Oryctolagus cuniculus: one gene and its partners. The protein of the gene in region 2 purifies or fractionates together with the protein of the main gene of each other region. This does not show direct contact. Links are inferred from orthologs where the notes say so. Each region holds a gene or a part of one and is shown on either strand. Other genes may lie near its edges.

Region 1 (3,648 bases), on a different chromosome or scaffold from region 2:
TCCTTACTTGTTCTATCAATTTTTTTCCTTAAGACATCTTTTGGACTTGTAAGTCCTAAGTAAATAATAAAGGGGGCTCAATCCTGGGGTCCAACCCCACATTTTCAGTACTGTTCAAGAGTTACAAAGACTAGTTCAGGGCACGGAACAGAGAAGAACACTGGATGCTCTGATGCCTGCGGAAAGCAGGGGCTAGAGAAGCCTCTGGAACTAGGTCACTTACTTGACAACCTTGATTCGGAACCGTAAGTCTCCAGGCTCCCCGTCCACATGAGGCTCGCCTAGTCAGAACAGATGACAGCATACCGTAAGTCACACAAGTCGAATACCACAAATCTATTTGGCAGCTGAGAGAATTCTTTTAAGCCACCACCTTGGCATTGATTCTGTCAAGTTTATCTGTGAAGGAAGTGTCTCTGCCTGGTTACAGCGTTTCAGATTACTAGTGAAGATAAGATCACTTTGTGCCTCAGGCATGGTAATAAATAACTTGACCTATTTCTCAAACAAAGAATGATTCATTGATGCCCTGAACCTGAAGTCTGAAAGCTTTTATCCTTTTAGAGTTTTAAATTTGAGCCCAAAGGTACAGTCTGGCAGCGAATCTTCTTTCACTGTCAAGTTAAAATTAATCCATAAAGGTCTGGACACTTTAAATTCTGGTGAAATTGAGGCCACCTGATAGTAACTTTTGGGCATGATATTTGAAGGACAAATAGTAATGACACCGCCTCAGGTGACTAACCGTGATGGTCAGAAAAGATTCTCCATGTGTGGTGAATTTTATATGCATTCACTACGAGGCCATTAGGATATGGGGTGAGACAAATATTCGTAAGTGGAGAGCAGAAAGTTATGATCATAAAACATCAGTATCAATATCCCACCTTCTCCAATAAAGGGGTACTCCATGCCATCTCTCACTCCAGGTTCTATTTCTACTTCCAGAGTTCGTTCTTCATTCACTAGTCTAAGACAAAGAGAATTTAAGAAGAAAAACAAAATGAAGATACAAATGAAAACCCAAGATACAGATAATTAAAGTGTTATCTATGTTATCAGGACTTTTTCTTGGAAGACTACAGTGTACCTCTCCTCTGCAAAGACCTCTGAAATCCACTTACACCTTCTAAATGTCCAAACTTAGGGCAGAACTACTATATAGTACACAAACACATAAGACTGCTCTGCTATGCAAGCAGGAAGAAAATGAAACCTCAGCACTTGGTAAGTCTACTCAGACATAGACAGCACTGCTTACTGTTTCAGAAACATTAAAGATACGCATATTCTGAAGAAACACTTCTGGAAAAAGTTAAAATGTCCATTCCTGCTCTATCCTTCGGTAGAACATGGTAAGGGGAGGGAGGAAGAGCTGGGGATGGACCACTGACGCCTCATTAGACAAAAGCGATTACTCGAGTGTTTCTTGGCGGAACCAAGAAGATGCTTCACTTACTTGACGTTAGGGCACTCATCGCAGACCACCTCCTGGGTCATCTGGAAGCGCCCTGGGCCCAGCTGGGTGGTCCGCATCTCTTGCCGACAGTTGCACTTCCGTTTGCCGGGAGCCTGCCTTGCCACAGGTTTGTTTCTAACTACCTAAGAAGTGCATAAACAACATCAGCTTCACTGTCTTTGGGGACCTCAGCCAACCAGGGCTCTGGCCACTGGCTGGACCTGGAGCTGCCCCTTCCCAGACAAGCCATCCCTCAGAGAGACCAAGAGCTCACAGGACTCCCTGGGGAGCACAAACAGGAATGAGGCAAACACATATTTAAATGACTCAAATTCTGAAGTTTGAGAGGTAAAGAGAGAGCGGAGTAGGGAAGAAGAGACCCAGAGTAAGGTTTATAATGTCAGCACTTGTGAGCCCGACTGCGGTAGTTACAGAATTACATCTGCTGAAATCGAGGCCTTGTAAAGCACAACCCCTGAAGAACAACCACAGCCTTCAGGGCTGGTGTGCGGCTGCCGTCTGATCCCAATGAAGACAGCTCCTTGTTCTAGGTAACCCGACCCTGGCCTGTTTTCCAGTGCTATCTCCATTCAGATACCTTAACACATAGCAAACACATAGCTGCCATCTCTTTGTAGCTGACTGCAATCAAACACTCTGATCTCTCGAGGTGTGTGAAATTAATATAGGGGCTAATGCTGTGGCATAGTGGATAAAGCTGCCGCCTGCAGGGTTGGAATCCCATATGGGCACCAGTTTGAGTCCCGGCTGCTCCATTTCCCATCCAGCTCTCTGATATGGCCTGGGAAAGCAGTAGAAGATGGCCCAAGCCCTTGGGCCCCTGCACCTGCGTGGGAGACCCAGAAGCTCCTGGCTCCTGGCTCGGATGGGCCCAACTCCAGCCATTGCAGCCATTTAGGGGGTAAACCAGCAGATGGAAGACATCTTTCTCTCTCTCTGCCTCTCTATAACTCTGCCTTTCAAATAATAATTTTTTTAAAAAAAGATATATATGTGAAGAAGTACATCCCTGTTTTTGCCTGTTTAATTAGTCAAACACCTAATCACGAGGTGCACGCATACTCACGCAGCAGCATGACACCAATGCTTGGAGCAGTCCCTTAAGGATTACCAGTGTATGAAAGCCCGGGTCAGCAGAATAAAGCCTAACAATGATAGGAATTAGAGCAAATACTTTACAGCACTTATTACATACCAAGCAATGCTCTAAAAACTTTTACATATTCACCTAATCTTCACGGCAACCTTGTGAGGTAGGTACTGTTATCTCCATTTTACAGACCAGGTGGCAGGTCCAAGGTCACATAACTAATACATGGCAGGACCACAGTTCCAAACAAAGCAGACTACTTGCAAAGTCCATGCTTCTAATCATACCCTATCTCTTAAGGTAATCGTTTCTTAAAACATTTTTAAATAGTAAGGGCATTCACATTTTTCCCATGATTATATTACAAAGGGGGGGGGGGCATTCACTGTAAAAAGTAATATACATGGGTATTTTAAAAAGTCCAGGGAAAAATGGAACTAAAAGTTAAGTTTTTTGCTGAAAAAAAATTTTTAAATTCAAGCATAGCTTTTTTCATAATATAAATTCTCCATGAACTTTTTAAGACCTTTTGTATGGATGGATGGCTTTAAAATATTTTATACCAGAATACACTTATCTTTTCATACAATTTTTCAGGAACTTTTAATTTTTTTTCTTTGAGAAGCAGACAGAGAGACAAAGAGCTAGAGAAAGGGAGGAAGATGGTGATAGAGACAGAAGAGAGAGGTCCCATCCACTGGTTCACTCCCCACAGTGGCCAGAACTGGGCCAAGCTGAAGACAGGAGCGGCCTTTCATGTGGGTGGCAGGAACTACCTGAGCCATCACTGCTGCCTCCCAGAGTCTGCATCAGGAAGAAGCTGGAATTAGGCAAAGAGCTGGGGCTCCAACTCAGGTACTGCTTTATGGGACATGAGTGTCTTAACCACTAGGCCAAACATCCACCCCTCCACAACTTTCTGAACTATTTTTGTATTTTGTGTATTAACAAAAACTGAAGAACAGCAGGTTAGGAAAGGAAGGTGGAAGTTAATTAGGCTCCACTGTTTCTCCTACCTAAACAACCTCTTCAATGTGTGGAGAAGACCTAAGAAATTGTAATGCCCCTTTCTTCTATC
Region 2 (4,234 bases):
TTACATTTTCATAACAAACTATGTGTTTATACAACATCACTTATGCAGATATTATCACAATGTACAATAGATTATTTAGACACTCTGACATGTTTGATTAAATGTGTTCATCACTAAACCAGGAGTGCACAAACATTTCCATGACCAGTTGCATTTAATGAAATTTGCTATAGCCATTCATACAGACTCAAACTTTTCCCATATCCCACCATTTGTATCCAGTTACTTGTTCATGAGTTGTGTAAAATGTAAAACTATAAATCCTGCCTCATAGTTAAATTTCTCTGACTTATAATTCTTAGAGATTTTCACTTTTATATGGAGGATACTCACAGAGGACAACAAAAATGTATTGGCCATAGGGAAAACTAAGTTTTTTGGGGGGGAAGAGAAAGGGATTATTTAATCCTGACTCATCACACATGGAGTTTTTTAGATTTTTATCATTGAGATCCTGTTGGAAATTTGGTATTTAATAATTGAATTTTGTTTTTAGATTCCTGTAACTGCCTGCATAGTCATATATATTTTCCTGGCACTTAATTAGGACCTTAAATTCAAAGGCATTTTCAAATTATAATAGATTATACCATGTGCCCAATGCACCATATAATATCCTATCACCTAAATGTAAGACATCAGACCACTGTCCCAACACACTACTTTGAACATCTCTTGTCAACTGCAACAAAATAGGATTAAATGAAATAACATGTGAAATCCCTGGAAAGCTGGCCCATAGTAGAGTCATATACACACACATGAGATTATATAGTTACAGATACAGATATAGAAATAGATATATAGATATATTCTCTTCCTTCTTCTTGCATATTTTTATTCAGGTGATACAAATATTGCATTTACATAAAATGAAAATTAATGATGTTCCTTACAAAATTGCTTTAAGTGGCAAGCTTTGTCAATGTAAATACTAAGTGATGCAATTACCATAATTGTCATTTACAGACAAATGTTCAGGAATATACCTAGTGCGTGAAACAGGGTGAACTATTATTGCCACTACACCACCACTAACTACATTTTCTCAACCCTATAGTGAATTTTGAGTCAACATTATGCCACATTTTAATTACAGAAAACTACTTCCATGATCAAACTAATCATTCTCTCACTTTTGGAATTCGCATCCGTTATGAAGAATTCAAGTCAAAGCCTAAAGTTGTGTCAGTGGTTAGGTTCAAGGCAGATGTCATATATGTAAGTACTAGATACGCAGTAGAATATGCAGTGAATTCATTTCACACTTAGGTCCATAAGAAGCATTGCATAGATACATTCAGCTGTGACAAAATTTGAAAACCAGAGCAAGAATAGTGGAGAACTCAATAGGCCTTACACATTGTGGTGTGCAGTAAAAACAACTCCCTGCAGTGAAAATACATGGCTAAGCTCATTACTTAACAGATTTTAAAATAAAACAACCATTAAAATCTTAAGAAAATGTAAAGGATACTAAGTCAAATTTAGAACTTTACTTATGAACTCTGTTCCTGTTTCTCCCTGATATTATTTCTTTCCATTTTCTATTAAGATAAATGAAAATGTGGATTACTTAAAATTAATGCTGTTCTTAAGCCACTGGTGCTGTTCCACTGTATCCTTGGTCAAACATTCATCATGGATGCTACGTAAGCAAGAGGTGATTCTTTGCTAAGGAAACGTTTGCACCCGTAGCGTTTCACCCATTCTAGTGTAGGTATCAGTGTGGTGCTGAAAGGATAGCTCCCCGTCACCTGTCGACGTTCCCCGGTTTTATTTGCGGAGAAGAGAAAAGATGGACTGAGGAGACCTAAAGTAGATCCACTGAGGACCCAAGGGATAGAGGATCACTTCAAAACTCCACGCCACCTTGCAAAACATCTAGCTAAAAGTCTTCAAGAAACTCATGGCCGCCAAACTAGGAATTTCAAAAAGCAAATGTCATTTGTCTCAAAGTAAAACCCCAAGGAAGCGCATTCCAAAGAAGATGGGGAAAAGTGAATTCTATATTTCTCCACCACTACAGTTATAGGTAGCATCCTCTGTAAATATAGTGAAGAAAGTCCAGAGACTTTTTAAAAGGAATTCTCAGGGTGGAGATGAGACTTGTGGAGAGGAGTCCACTCCAGGCTCCACCTGACACTCCAACTCGTTACAGAAAATCCTGCCCTCCACCCACCCCCGCGGTCCGACAGTGGCTGGGGGCTCAGCGCCCGAGTGTGAATCCAGCGTTAGGTAAATTAAGACAAAGCAGCAGCACACTTCGGTGGGGGAGGGCGGGAGGTTAACTGGCAGCGGTGGGTCGCAGTAGGGGACACAAGGGAAAGTGACCTCATTTTGCTAGAAAAAGCTCTACCCACCAAGCCCACCTTTGATGAGGGTTTCAGCTTAGGCGAAAAAAGCCAGAGGGAGCAAACTTCCCTTGTTCTTCTACCCAACCCTTCCCTCCAGATCCCTGGAACCCTCACACCGAGGGACAACAAAGCGCGCGCCCAGCTGCGCGGCCATCGCGCCCCGGGCGCGTCGCTCCCGCACGGCAGAGTCTGGGCGCCCGAGCGCGGCTGAGACCGGACACGAGGCTGGGGGTTGGGGCGCTCCCCTACCTTGAGCAGCACAAAGAGCCAGAGCAGAGGCAGCAGGCGGCGGCGGCCGCGCGCCCTGGTGGGCAGGTGCCCCATCGCAGAGCGAACGGGAACCCGGGAGTGGGGCACCGCGGGACTGGCGGGCTTCCCAGGCGGCCGCTCACAAAGGCGAACTGGGGCTGCAGCCTCAGACGGTGGGCGCCGAAGCTGCTCCCGGCGGTCGCATGCTGCCTTTTCAGTCCCCCTGCGCCGTCTCCCTGTCCTCCTCCGCGCCCGGGGTCCTCCAGCAACGCGCGGGGCGCCGCTGCGCTTTAATGGCTAAGCTTGGAGAGAGGGTGGGGATTGGAGTGGGCGAGGCTCTGCCGCCGCCGCCACCGCGGCTGCCGGAGGAGGCGCGGGGTCCGCGCGCAGGAGAGGCGGGGGCTCTGTGTGCCTCGCGCCGCGGCCCGCCGGCTGCAGGGATGCTTCCCCGCGGGGCCGGGGGCTTGGGGAGTGCCGGCTGCCTGGCGAGCCTCCCACAAGGGTCTGCCCGCCGCCCTGGAAGGCTGGGCAGCCCCCTCCAGGCTTCTCCTCAGCCCTTCCCACAGGCTCTGGGCTCCGGAGTTGAGCGGGTGGCCTTGACTCCTCTGGAGTATCCTGGGGTCCAGATTTCAGTTCCCTACCGATTTTCCTGTGTCTACTCTCAGCTGTAGTTATTATAAAGGACCGGTGACGTTGGGATGACTATGACTGTTGAGATGGAGTGTGCGGTGTGTGTGTGTGTGTGTGTGTGTGTGTGAATGCACGTGCAAGAGTGTGTGAGTGTGTGGGAGCATGAGAGTGAGAATATATGAGCGTACGTGAGTGTGAGAATGTGTGTGTGAACATGTGTATGAGTATGTGAGTGTGAATGCGTTTGTGTGAATGCCAGTGTGCGTGTGTGTGTGTGTGTGTGATGGGGAGTGTTTCCCCCACTGCCCTCCTCTCTTCCACCCCTTCCATTCTCTTCATCCTGTTTAAACACTCACTTTCTACGTCCCATAGTCAGCTAGAAAGAAACAGCACAATTATGTATGTTTTCTATTTGAAATTAGGAGTTCTCCTATGTTGCAAAGACTATCTTTGATACGAGTTTGTCAGATTACCTGAAAAGGAATATAGAACCGGAAAACCACGTTTGACATATATTTGTAAGATATACATTTTTAACAATTCTGAATTATCTGTGAATAATTAACCTGAGACTTTGTAGAGCCACAGCAATGAGTTCCAAGCTGTGTGTCTCCAGTATACTTATCTGTCCCTTTTGTTGAATGTGTGTGTGTGTGTTTTTTTTTTTCAAAGATAAGTCTGTCAAAATAAACTATGGGTACACTGTTCAGGTATAAATCATTTCTTATTACCATGTAAATTATCCTTGCTGTGTCCTGCTGGTAATGGAACTTCTGATTTATCCTTGAGACATGCGTGGGCACCAGAAGACAGGAAAGGTCACCTTGGTCATGAATGCAGGCGTTCAGGCACCAGTTTGTCCCAGTCTCACAGACTCAGGGCTGGATCGAATGTTTAGCATTTAAGACACCTACCTCTCATAAAAGAGTATCTGGGTTCAATTCCCAGCTCTGGCTCCTGGCTCCAGCTTCCTGTTAATGTAGACCCAAGGGGAGAAG
Region 3 (3,421 bases), on a different chromosome or scaffold from region 2:
GGCCCGAGTGCACCTGTGTGGGAGACCTGGAAGGAATTCCTGGGTCCTGGCTTCAGCCTGGCCCAGTCCTGGCTGTTGTGGCCATTTGGGGGGGGGTGGTGGCAGTGAACCAGCAGATGGATGGTCTCTGTCTCTGCTCTCTATAAATCTTCAAGAAAAAAAAAAAAAAAGATGCTGTGTGGGATGCCCGCATCCCATATCAGAGTGTTTGGGATCTAATTCTGCTTCTGCTCCACACTCAGGGGCTGGCTGTGGTACCTGGGCCCCTGCCACCCATGTGGGAGACCCAGATGGAGTGCCAGGAGCCTGGCCCAGTCTCAGCTGTTGCAGCCACTTTGGGGAGTGAACTGGCGGGATGGGAGACTTCTCTCTCTCCCGTCTCACCAAGGAAAGAAAGAGAAGGCGCGGGAGAGGGAGGAGGGTGAAGGAAAGGAGGGAGGAAGAAAGGGCGGGTGATGCTGTGGATACATTCAGCCAGGCCAGGTTGGCCTCTCCGCATCGAGGAAGAAATCCCAGTGCTTGCTGGAGCCTCCTGGTCACCCCCAGGCTCAGGGCCGAACACAACCACGGACGGGCATTCTTTAATCACAAAGGCACTTGGGGAACTCCCTCCACACCCCAAAGTCTCTGGCCCTCCCTGGCCGCCCACCGCACTCAGAGTTCGTCGTGAGCCCCAGCGGGTTCCGCCCCCGGCTTGATGAAGACGCCCTCCATGGCCTTCCAGGTGTTGTGCGTGTTGGCGCTGGCCATGCCGTGCACCTCGTGCTGGCCCCGGATCGGGTTCCCGTACTGCTCGCCGGTGACCGACAGGAACACGGAGGTCCCCACGTGCTGGAAACGCACCGCGGCCTCGCGCTCCCAGTGCTGCCCGGAGCAGCGCACCGTCCACAGGTCCAGGTCGTCCCCCTCGCCGTCCTCCCCAAAAGCGCTCACCTCCTGCGTGTGTGTGCACAGTGGTCACCGCCAAGGGCCACTCGGCCGGCAGGGGCACTCGCACCCAGGGAGCTAAGGCTGGCTTCTTCACGTGCTCCCCACCCCCGTCCAAGGCTGAACCCCTCTCCCCAATCCCGCAGGGTCTTTATCAGTCTTAACCCCTAAGCACCTTCCTGGAGCACCACCCCCCAGATGCCACCGTCTTCCAGCCTGGGCACCAGCTCCCTCTCTCTCCGCCTCTGCTGCCTGCTCCTCCTGGCCAGCCCGAGCCTGGAGCTCCTGCTCCCTCTGCTTGTGGGCTCCCACCAGCGCCTACAAGAGGAGCGACCCCGGACGTGCAGACCGCCCCCTCCCGGGAGCGCCCCCCCCCCCGCCGGAGGCGGGACCCCCTGCAGTACCGCTAAGTCCCGAGAGGGGGCGCTCGGCGCGCGTTTTTTCCACCCCCGCCCCCTTGAATCGAAATTCCCGTTTCGCAGAAGCTGAAGCTCAGAGCCCGGCAGGTGGGGGTCAGGGAAAAGGGGGCGCACCCACCTGGTTGTTGGACAGCGGCGACGGGAAGTGGTGCGTGTGCAGGTTCTTGCCGGTGAGCACGTGCGTGAGCCGCACCGCCTGCCCGCAGCGCACCGGGGCCCCGCGCGGGCACCCGTCGTCCGCGCCGCCGCGGATCCGCCAGTAGCTGTTGGCGTCGTCCGAAGCGTCCACGCCGGTCACCGACTGCTGGCCGCTGCCTGAGGAGCGACACCGGGGCCCGCCGCGGCGTCTCTCGTCAGGCGCGGAGCTCTCGGGGCCCCTGGTCGGCCCCCGATCGCCCGGGACCCCACCTCCCCCCCACACACACACAACGGCCCACACGCCCCCCGGCCCCCCGCCAGCCCCGCGCACCGGATCCGTATTTGATGTCGTGCGAGTGCAGCCGCACCCTGTGGTGCGTGTTGAAGAGCTTCAGCACCGACCCGCACGTCACGAACCCCGCGCCGGTCTTGGCAGCCACGCCGGCCGGCCCTAAAAGGGCCAGCAGCAGCCCCAGCAGCACCGGCCCCGCAGCGCCGCCGCCGCCGCCGCGGCCCGCGCTCCACATCACCGCGGCCGGGCTTGAGGCGCTCGGGTCCCACCGGCCGCTTCCGTCCTCGCCGCGGGGCCAATCCGGCTCTGACAGCGCCCCGCCCCACAACGGCCAATCGCCGGCCTGCGCGGCTCTCCCTCTGCGACGCCATTGGGTCGCAGGGGCGGGGACCCGCCCCTTCGGCTTGGGAGCGAGGCGTCTGGGAGGGGGCTGGAGACACGAGGACGCTTTTGATTGGTCCACGCTTCCGAGCACTCGCCAATGGGAAACGCGTGTGGATAAGAGCGCCGAGTCCCGCTGCCGCCCATTCCCCCGGTGCACCCGGTTCAGGCCCCTGCGTGTTCCTGGATCTCGGACGCTAGGGTCTCTGCGCTCAGACTGTGCGCCGGCGGCTGCAGGGTCTTGGGGTTGCGGGGTCCCGGAGCACACAGATCCCCAAGGCACCAGGGCTTTCTGAAGTTCCCTGGCCACTGTGACATTTGGCCCCTGGGACAGCAGAGGGCAGCACGGAGCTATGGTGCAGGCTCTCACCAGGGGGCCCCAGAGCTGCCTAAGGGACAGCACAGGCCACGGGGAGTGACAAGCGAGCCTGGGTGACCGCGCGTCGGCTTAAAGGGAGCAGAGCTTATACCCCGTTTGCTTATCCATTTCCAGGAGCATCCTTAGGTTGATGGAGTTCGTTCCAGGCTGGGGGCCTCAGGGGATCTGGCTCTGGGCTACACCACCCCAAACACTGACTAGGCAAGGCACAAGGGCCCCTTGCAAAGCAAGGAGAAAAGTTCGTTTTAAATAAATCAGCCAGGGGCTGGCGTTGTGGCGCAGTGGGTTAAGCTGCCGCCTGGGACGCTGGCTTCCCATGTGGGCTCAGTTCCAGCTACTTCACTTCCTGCTGGTGCCCCTGCGAAAACAGCAGAAGATGGCCCAAGTGATCGGGGTTCCTGCCACCCACGGGAGAGACCTGAAGGAAGCTCCAGGCTCCCGGCTTCGGGTTAGCCCAGCTTCGGCTGTTGCAGCCATTTGAGAGAGAGCTTCCATCCGCTGGCTCACTCCCCAAATGCACCCGGGGAAGCAGTAGAAGATGGCCCAATTGCTTGGGCCCCTGCCACCCATGTGGAAGACTCGGAAGAAGCTCCTGGCTGCAGCCCAGCCCAGCCCTGGCCATTGTAGCCATTTGGGGAGTGAAACAGTTGGATGGAAGACCAGAAGATCGATCTCTCTCTCTCAAAAAAAAAAAAAAACTTCTCAAAAAAAATTTGAAAGGCAAAGTTATGGAGAAAGAGAGGAAGACAGAGATAGATCTTTCATCTGCTGGTTCTCTCTCTCTACAATGACTAGAGCTGGGCCGTGCTGAAGCCAGGAGCCTGGAACTCAGGCCTGCCATGTGGGTGCAGAGACCCAAGGACTTGGGCCAGCTTCTGCTGCTTT

What was found.
Region 1: the proteins of PTPRO (region 2) and DNAJB11 purify together in Homo sapiens (affinity purification with mass spectrometry; 3 studies listed by BioGRID and IntAct, with this or other methods). This does not show direct contact. The link is inferred for Oryctolagus cuniculus from reciprocal best matches to the Homo sapiens genes PTPRO and DNAJB11.
Region 3: the proteins of PTPRO (region 2) and SDF2L1 purify together in Homo sapiens (affinity purification with mass spectrometry; 3 studies listed by BioGRID and IntAct, with this or other methods). This does not show direct contact. The link is inferred for Oryctolagus cuniculus from reciprocal best matches to the Homo sapiens genes PTPRO and SDF2L1.

Annotation. Positions count from the first base shown.
Region 1 is NC_091435.1:96,300,361-96,304,008, reverse strand, and holds part of DNAJB11 (dnaJ homolog subfamily B member 11), read right to left. Parts: intron 1,603-3,648; coding exon 1,460-1,602; intron 971-1,459; coding exon 888-970; intron 282-887; coding exon 224-281; intron 1-223. UniProt on the Homo sapiens protein: As a co-chaperone for HSPA5 it is required for proper folding, trafficking or degradation of proteins.
Region 2 is NC_091440.1:113,146,878-113,151,111, reverse strand, and holds the start of PTPRO (receptor-type tyrosine-protein phosphatase O isoform 1 precursor), read right to left. Parts: upstream 2,860-4,234; 5' UTR 2,682-2,859; coding exon 2,607-2,681; intron 1-2,606.
Region 3 is NC_091452.1:29,148,160-29,151,580, forward strand, and holds SDF2L1 (stromal cell-derived factor 2-like protein 1), read right to left. Parts: upstream 2,079-3,421; 5' UTR 2,012-2,078; coding exon 1,816-2,011; intron 1,662-1,815; coding exon 1,465-1,661; intron 937-1,464; coding exon 655-936; 3' UTR 566-654; downstream 1-565.